2 linked regions of the Caenorhabditis elegans genome follow. The protein of the gene in region 1 purifies or fractionates together with the protein of each later gene. This does not show direct contact. Each region holds a gene or a part of one and is shown in the gene's direction. Other genes may lie near its edges.

What was found.
Region 2: the proteins of col-49 (region 1) and T25D10.1 fractionate together in Caenorhabditis elegans (co-fractionation; one large-scale study listed by BioGRID). This does not show direct contact.

What each region holds. Positions count from the first base shown.
Region 1 is NC_003279.8:3,135,303-3,139,103, forward strand, and holds col-49 (Cuticle collagen 49), read left to right. Parts: upstream 1-1,882; 5' UTR 1,883-1,906; coding exon 1,907-2,165; intron 2,166-2,516; coding exon 2,517-3,109; 3' UTR 3,110-3,145; downstream 3,146-3,801. Other genes in the region: K09H9.8 (uncharacterized protein), read right to left, coding at 3,295-3,360. UniProt on the Caenorhabditis elegans protein: Probable cuticular collagen-like protein. Nematode cuticles are composed largely of collagen-like proteins. The cuticle functions both as an exoskeleton and as a barrier to protect the worm from its environment.
Region 2 is NC_003280.10:6,401,744-6,405,761, forward strand, and holds T25D10.1 (uncharacterized protein), read left to right. Parts: upstream 1-1,657; 5' UTR 1,658-1,947; coding exon 1,948-2,116; intron 2,117-2,161; coding exon 2,162-2,328; intron 2,329-2,399; coding exon 2,400-2,499; intron 2,500-2,545; coding exon 2,546-2,675; intron 2,676-2,723; coding exon 2,724-2,797; intron 2,798-2,841; coding exon 2,842-2,948; intron 2,949-2,998; coding exon 2,999-3,235; 3' UTR 3,236-3,297; downstream 3,298-4,018. Other genes in the region: btb-2 (BTB domain-containing protein), read left to right, coding at 262-356, 404-746, 796-946, 988-1,265; spp-11 (Saposin B-type domain-containing protein), read right to left, coding at 3,697-3,861, 3,906-4,010.

The sequences.
Region 1 (3,801 bases):
AAACTCGGCCACCGTCATAACATCTTTTTCAAGAACATTATCGTTAAGTTTCAGAAAAATGCGCCATGTATAATCAAAGATAAATCCCTGGCCGAGTTTTTGATGTTTCTAGGCCAGCGTGGCCGCGAATGGAGAAACATCGGCCACTAATTTTTCATGGTGGCGCATTAGATCGTGGCGGGATATCGGAGTGTCGTTTCTTACGATTTTTGTGAATTTCCAGTTGTTTCCGCAGTGTTTTTAGCGAAGAGAATAGAAGACATGTTGGATTTTTTGAAAACGTTTTTTTTTCAATTTAAAATTCTCATAAAATTTCCACATAATGCTAGAGTTTCACGTAAAAAAATGTTTTTTTTTGCACATTTAAAAGAAAACCAGCAAAGCGTTCAGGGACTATACTCGATCTGCTTATGGAGCTTTTCTAAAGCATATGTGGGTACAGCCGGGCTTCAACCGAAAAACTCTGGTGCAAGTTCAATTCCATATAAATCATCCGGAGCTTAAAGGTTCCACTTCCCAGCTTGCGGCCGCTTTGGGCATGTGGGCGGCATGCGTGAGTTATAATATGCCAGCCGATTTGGTGATTACTGGAAAAGTAGCTTACTGTGGTTTAGTTGGAAAGTTAGTTTTTGTTTTTCATTTCGTAGCTAGAAATTTAGAAAACTTTTAGTACAGATTTTCATTCATGAGTTTGAAAAACTAGTACAACAGGAGCATATTTTCAGGTTGGCGATATTGAGGCAATAACGCGAGCAGTCATAGCTGAAAAGATGAGATTATGATGCCATTGAATAACATCCAAGAACTGCCAGAGGATTTGCGACGTCAAACCACAATTTTTGGCGTTGCCATGATGGAACAAGCTATCGCAAAAATCAAACGAATGAACTGATCATACAAAACTTTTTTTTGTGTATAAAACATGTTTTTAAAAACTTTTTTTTCGATATTCAAAAAAAAACTAGCATTGATACAGCCGTGATTTTACTATTTTTCGGAAGCTCGTAAAATTTCCGATTTTTTAAAACCATGTTATAATTTACTCTCTGGGTTCACCAAATATTTTACTCTGAAGCCAGCGAGTAAATTATACTGTGAACCCAGAGAGTCATGAACCCCAGTCAGTACTGAAAAAAAAGTTGAAAAAAATTTTAATTTTAAAAACGATTTTAGATAGTGCCATTTTGTATTGCAGAAACACAAAAATTCTGAGAATGCGTATTGCGCAGCATATTCGACGCGCAAAATATCTCGTAGCGAAAACTACAGTAATTCTTAAAATGATTGATGTAGTGCTTTTGTCGATTTACGGGCTCTATTTTCCAAACGGATTAAATTGATTTTTTTAAAGAATATTTAAATAAAGAAAATGAAACGAGAGAAAATTCAAAAAGAAATTCATTCCCGTAAATCGACACAAGCGCTACTGTAGTCATTTAAAGAATTACTGTATTTTTCGCTACGAGATATTTTGCGCGTCAAATATGTTGTGCAGTACGCATTCTCAGAATTTTGTGTTCCCGTGATAGAGAATTCTTTATTTAGTACAATTGAGTGTTTTTCCACCTCAATTTGCAAAATTGTTCAATGAGCTACAGGAAATAACATTGCCTATCGAATGAGACTAGTTTTGAGCAGCTACGACAAAAATTCGTTTTGGCTTTCAGTACAGATTCTAAACTGGTCTATTAAAAATGTGCTACGGTTTCGTCAGAGATACAGTGATTATGGCTATCACGATTCGGGCGTGTCTTGGGAACTTTTTTCACCGAACATTTCCTCCGCCGCTTGTTGTATCCAGTTCATCAAAGAGAACAACGCAACGAACAACGTTTTTCTGCAGTTCTAATAGTGAGTATAAAAATGAGATGAATATCTTCCGAAAATCTCATTCTTCCTCATCATCATGTGGAAATTCGTAATTGGAAGTGTCTCGACCGCAGCGTTTTTCGTAAGCGTCTGCACTATTTATTTCTCGGTTTCGATGCTCGATGAGCTCGATTCATTTCGTTTGAGCATTCGTGATGAGTTGGAAGACTGGAAGGAGGTCAGCGATGACACGTGGCAACGGTTGAACGATATGACGTCGAGAAATGTTCCAAAGAAGACGAATATTTTGAAGGAATTTGTGAGAGGAAAGAGAAACGTCGGAAATGATCAGTGCAGTGAGTAACTTTTTTCTGAAAAGAAACTATTATTCGTTGGAAAGTCTAGAAAGGCTTATGATTAGGCTTAGGCTTAAGCTTAGGCTTCTGCTAGCTTGTTCTTAGGCTTAGGCATAGGCTTAGGCTTAGTCTTAGGTTCAGGCTTAGGCTTAGTCTTAGGTTTAGGCTTAGGCTTAGGCTTATGTTTAGGCCTCGGCATAGGCTCAAGCTTATACTTAGGCTTAGGTTAGGCTTAGGCTTAGGCTTAGGCTTAGGCTTATGCTTAGGCTTCGGCTTAGGCTTCTGCTAGCTTGTTCTTAGGCTTAGGCCATCTTTTTCTCGCCAATTAAGCTCCTAGTTCAAATTTTCCAGATTGCGCTGAGCCAACAAAGAACTGCCCAGCAGGACCACCAGGAGAGAAGGGATCTCTCGGAAATCCAGGACAACCGGGACCCGATGGAGTTGATGGTGACAACGGTGTGGATGGAGACGTCGTGATTCATGATATGCCAAATCCTAAAGAATGCATCAAGTGTCCAGCAGGACCACCAGGACCACCAGGACCACCTGGACCACTCGGACCACGTGGTGACAAGGGACCGTCCGGGCCACGTGGAGCACTTGGAGATCAAGGAGAAACTGGTCCAGTTGGAGAAATTGGAGATCAAGGACCACCAGGATCCGCCGGAAGAGCTGGACCAAGAGGTCAAGCCGGACAACCAGGAACTATCGCAATTGTCGGATTGGCTGGAAGACCAGGACCACAGGGTCCACTTGGAGAGCCTGGAGCACAAGGAGAGCCAGGAGTTGATGGAAAAGATGGAGCTCTTGGAGCACCTGGAAGAAAGGCGGAGAACGGAAGACCAGGAAAACGTGGAAAGGACGGAGTTGCAGGAGTACCAGGGACACGTGGAAAGGAAGGAGAAGACGCGGGTTACTGTACTTGCCCACCTAGAACTGCTTGATTCGAAAAGTGTAAATAAAGTATTTATTCTTCTTGGAAATGTTTGAAAATCAGCATTTGTGAAATCTGAAAATCCGATTTGCCAGAGCTAGAATAGTTAGAGTGGCGTCTATTCCCACTGTAATTACATGCTAGTAAAACGTTTATTCTTCTTTGAATCTAGAAAAACTTTTAAAAAGATGTTATCTAAACTGGCTGCAAAAGCTTCTGAGCGACTCCTTCAAGACCCTTGCTCTCCTCGGTTGCGGATACCTGAAATTTTGAAGTAAAGGGGTTCTGTAGATAGAATAAAACTACTGGAGAAGGAAGCTACGGACTACTGTACTCTAAAGGAGGAACTTTGAGTGGAGGGTGTACGATAGGACTACTGTAAGGGAGGTGTACTGTGGTACGAATACTGTAGTCTCAATCTAGGATATAGCTACTGTAGGAGGACGAGTGCAGGTTTCTGTGGACATACGGTTGTTTGTAAACTGTAGCGAGGACAAGGAATTATTCAGTGAAGGGAGCGGGTACTGAAGGACTACGGTAGGAAGGATATACTGTGGTTACAGAACTGTACCTGCAAATTAGGATAAAAATACCGTAGAAAAAACAATTCAGGTGGGTGACTGTGGTCATACGGGTGTTGGAGTACTGTAACAGATTGCAGGTATAATAAAAGTTCAGGGTGTAGTATAGGACTACTGTAAG
Region 2 (4,018 bases), on another chromosome or scaffold:
AAGCTTGATGATCAACTTCCACGAATATGCGAGACACTTATTAACAAATTTTCACTTATTACTGTAAACTAAACATTTCAAAATTAATAAAAAAAATTTAATTACAGGCCATAATAGCGTGACACTCGTTCTGCGTACATCTGGCTTTATTTCCACGTGTCCCACGAGTTTTTCTTCCTCTTCAGTTTTTGATCAGTGCTAATTGTTTTCGTTAGAATTTGAAAACTTCGAAACTTCGAAACGAAACTACTTCGAAAAAAAATGAAGATAAAATGTGTTGAAGTCAACAGCGACAAATATTCGATTAAATCAGTGCTTGGAAAATTCTGTGATACAAACTGTGGAGGAATCAATGTGTGAGTTTCAAGATTTTTCCACTTCGGCTAATACAATACTTTTTCAGCTCATTGTTTGTCTCAGAAACTACTTCGAATAAGTATAGATTTGAATGGGAATTAAAATGGGACGAATTGAAGAAGAAAGGGGTCAAGCATTTGTTTGGAACAATCACCCCGGAAACCAACGACAAGTTGGTTCCAAGCATTGATTTTTCTGTTGATGAAAAACGCAGCACATCTAATTTGGAAACTTCTAAAGACTGGTTGTACAACATTCCTTTCAAGTACAAAATTTTCTACAAAGAATCCGATTATTCTGGATTAACTTTGGAAGAACTTTTCAAGCCATCTGAAAGGAATGATGCCGTTTTAGTGATCGGAGGTACAAAGATGCATGTCAATAAAGCTGTAAGATGTTTTTTTGCAGTTGCAGTGTCCTATATTTATAATTTTCCAGTTGCTGAGCTTCCATTCTGAATATTTTCGAGCTCTGTTCTCCTCGAATTTCAAAGAAGGAAAGTTGACTGAAATCCCAATGTATGAAGTTTCATATGAAGATTTCTCGAGAATGCTGGCAGTTTTGTATGGAAATGAAGCTTTATTGAAAGGTGATCCAATCCTTCAAACTAATATGAATTCATTATTTCAGATGATAATTTGGAAAAGATGTTGGAGCTGGCCGATCAATTTCAGGTGCCACGTGTAACGGCTCATATCGAGACTCATTTGTGCCACTTTTCGAAAATGAAGCAGGATCAATTGATGCGTTTGGCAGACAAATTCAATTTGCGTACAATCATCGAAAAGATTATCAGTGAAGTGGACACTACTCAAAAAATGAAGAACCTCAAGAACTCGGCAGTGTTCTGGAATTTATCAGATGAAACGAAGGTGCTCTTCCTGTATCGTCTCATGCAATTGATCTAAAGGATGGTATAGATTGAAGTTTTTTTATTGTATAATTTATGTATTTATTGTATTTTCGTGGTATAATTATGGAAGAATAAATGCATCGCATTTGAAAGTTTTTTTATACAGATTATCTCTTATTCAAAAAAGTTACATTTAACTAGTAAAATCTAGCCAGAAATTTAAGATCGTGTAGAACTCAGAAGATATCCGAAATCAGATGGCAGTGCTGAATACTGCTCATAACTATTTTTGTTACCTTTTTTTAAACATTGGTAAATATTGGCTTGGCTTAAAGTATGGCTTATGACGTGAACCAACATTGAAAATGGACGAATATTCTGGAAATTGAGTTTTTTTAGATAATAAAAAACGCTGTAACTATATATAAATAAATGTAATGTTTGTTTAAAACACCTTTTCTTCCAGTGCTACACCCTTTTATTGATCTTTTGTGTCAATATAAGTAGACTCTTATCACTTTGAACTTGTTCACTGACATTCTATTCACCATGACAGTCAATTCTTTATTCAACAATTTTACTTTTTTTTAAATATTAAACTTGCATTATTATTTTTGAAGTGAGTTAGTGAACGAAAACAAACAAAGACCCTCCACGGGTACTCACTATCAGTACTACTCACGTATTTGGATATTTTTTGCGGGGATTTGGAAAGCCATTTGCAGTTCCAACCAACTATGTTCTTAAGAAGACGTAATTTAAATTCATCAAGAATCATATGCATCATATCAATTATCGTGCTTCTTCTTATAATCATTTCACTATATCCTCATAAGCGGACACAATTTGGAAGATATTCTCGAAGACAGAAGACCATTCGATTTCAGCATAGTACTGGAGAAATAGGCAAGTAATCTTTTAAATCATACTTTAAAATAAATTTCCATTTAGGCGATCAATTATTCTCTCTACTTTCTCATCTTGGTGTTGCAAAAACTCTTTATCGAATTCCAGTTATCAATTCTGCTAATAATTCAAAATTAATCGATACTCTTTCAAACGCAATGTTTACAAGATTTCCATCGATTCTGCAACAATTTTTAATTGCTATTGAACCAGTAAGTGCATTTTTATAAAAATTTTCACAATTAAATGTATTATTTCAAATGATGATAAATTTGATTTTTAGCCAACAGCAGTGAATAGAGAACTTGGAATCGAGAATAGTTCGTACGAAGATCCTCTTACAAAGTTCTCAGAGGACACATCTTCAAGTCTGATGGTCAAAGGTTTGAGTGATCAATATAGTTTGGAAGTCTATTGTTTTTTATTCAGGGAACGGATTCAAAAGTTTTAAATATTTTGATAATTTGCGTTCTGACATTCGCTTGTGGGTATTGGAAGACGCCGAAAGTGTTCTAGAAGCACAAAATTTGATTACAAAATCTCAACGGAACAACTTCAAGTAAGCATTTTGATCATTTTAAAATTTATTTTTATTTATTTATTTCAGAATTTGTGTGCATGCAACATTAGAAAGCAATAAGAACTGCAGTGTTAAAGCAATTGCACAAATTCTGAATCATTGTAAATTAATTGAAACTTGACCATTTTTAGCCGTTCGTTTTCAGATACCAATGAATATGAGGATGTTATGTTGATAATTGCTAGCCCGTTTCCGGAATTTACTCGTTTCATTTTTACGAACTCGAGAATCAGAAAATACAAAACTGAAAAAGTGAGTTTAGTAAGTACAAACTTTCTTAATAATTTGTTATCATTTTTCAGTTTTCATTGATCAGTTCTTCACCAGAAATGCAAATTATTTTTTCAAGAATCTATTGTGATGTTGTATTCTTGACAGTTCCATATTCAACACATGGATGGTGGATGGGATATTTGGCAAAAGATGACAATAGCCACGTGTTCTATTTTGATCCAGACATGTTCCCGAAAAATAGAACGGCGAACCAAGAAGACTATTTCCCGCCAAAATGGAAGAAATTGTCAAGAAAAATTCAATGATCTCGATTTATCTTGTACAATAACTAACTTTTGTTTTGAATAAATAATTCATTAAGGCTGTGTATATGCAGTTTTCAGGAAAAAAAAACTGTTCAACGTCGATCACATTTTACTCACAGCTTTTGAGCCAAAAATTGAAATTAAATTTCCACCCAGAAGAAGACAGCGTCAGAGCCAAAAGAACAACCAAAAATCGGCAATTTAATTTGCCTGTATACAAAAACACGGATGTTTTTAATGTTTTAAGTCAGCTGAGTTCATAATAAACTTGATAACAAACGTGTCTTAAACTTCATCAATTGATTGTGCAAGTTTATAGAAAAAGATATATGTATCTTGAAAACCAAAAAACACGTGCAGGGTAACTAGACTTCAATTTTTGGAAATATAAAAATATACTACTAATATGTTTGTATTAAAATAATTTTATGAGAAACAAGTTGATAATTGACAGAAAACAATTATTTACAGAAAGGTACGTGCTTACAAAATGAAACTGGTTCAAGATTCTTCTTAAGTCCATCGAATCCCTTGAAAATTGTGTCCATAATATTTCCTTTGAACATAACACACATGGTCCCAACTGTGAGAGTTTTCGGATTGCTTGTTAAAGACGTGCAGAGTTTCTGTAAATATAATAGTGATTACATTAGTGTTTGATTGAAAATACCGTAAGGAATTTATCAGCTTCCACTCTAAACTTTTGTATAATTTCAAGAAGTCTTGTGGTAAGAACACCGATCACTTTCTCGCAAATATCGCAAACCATATTTCCCTGAAAAT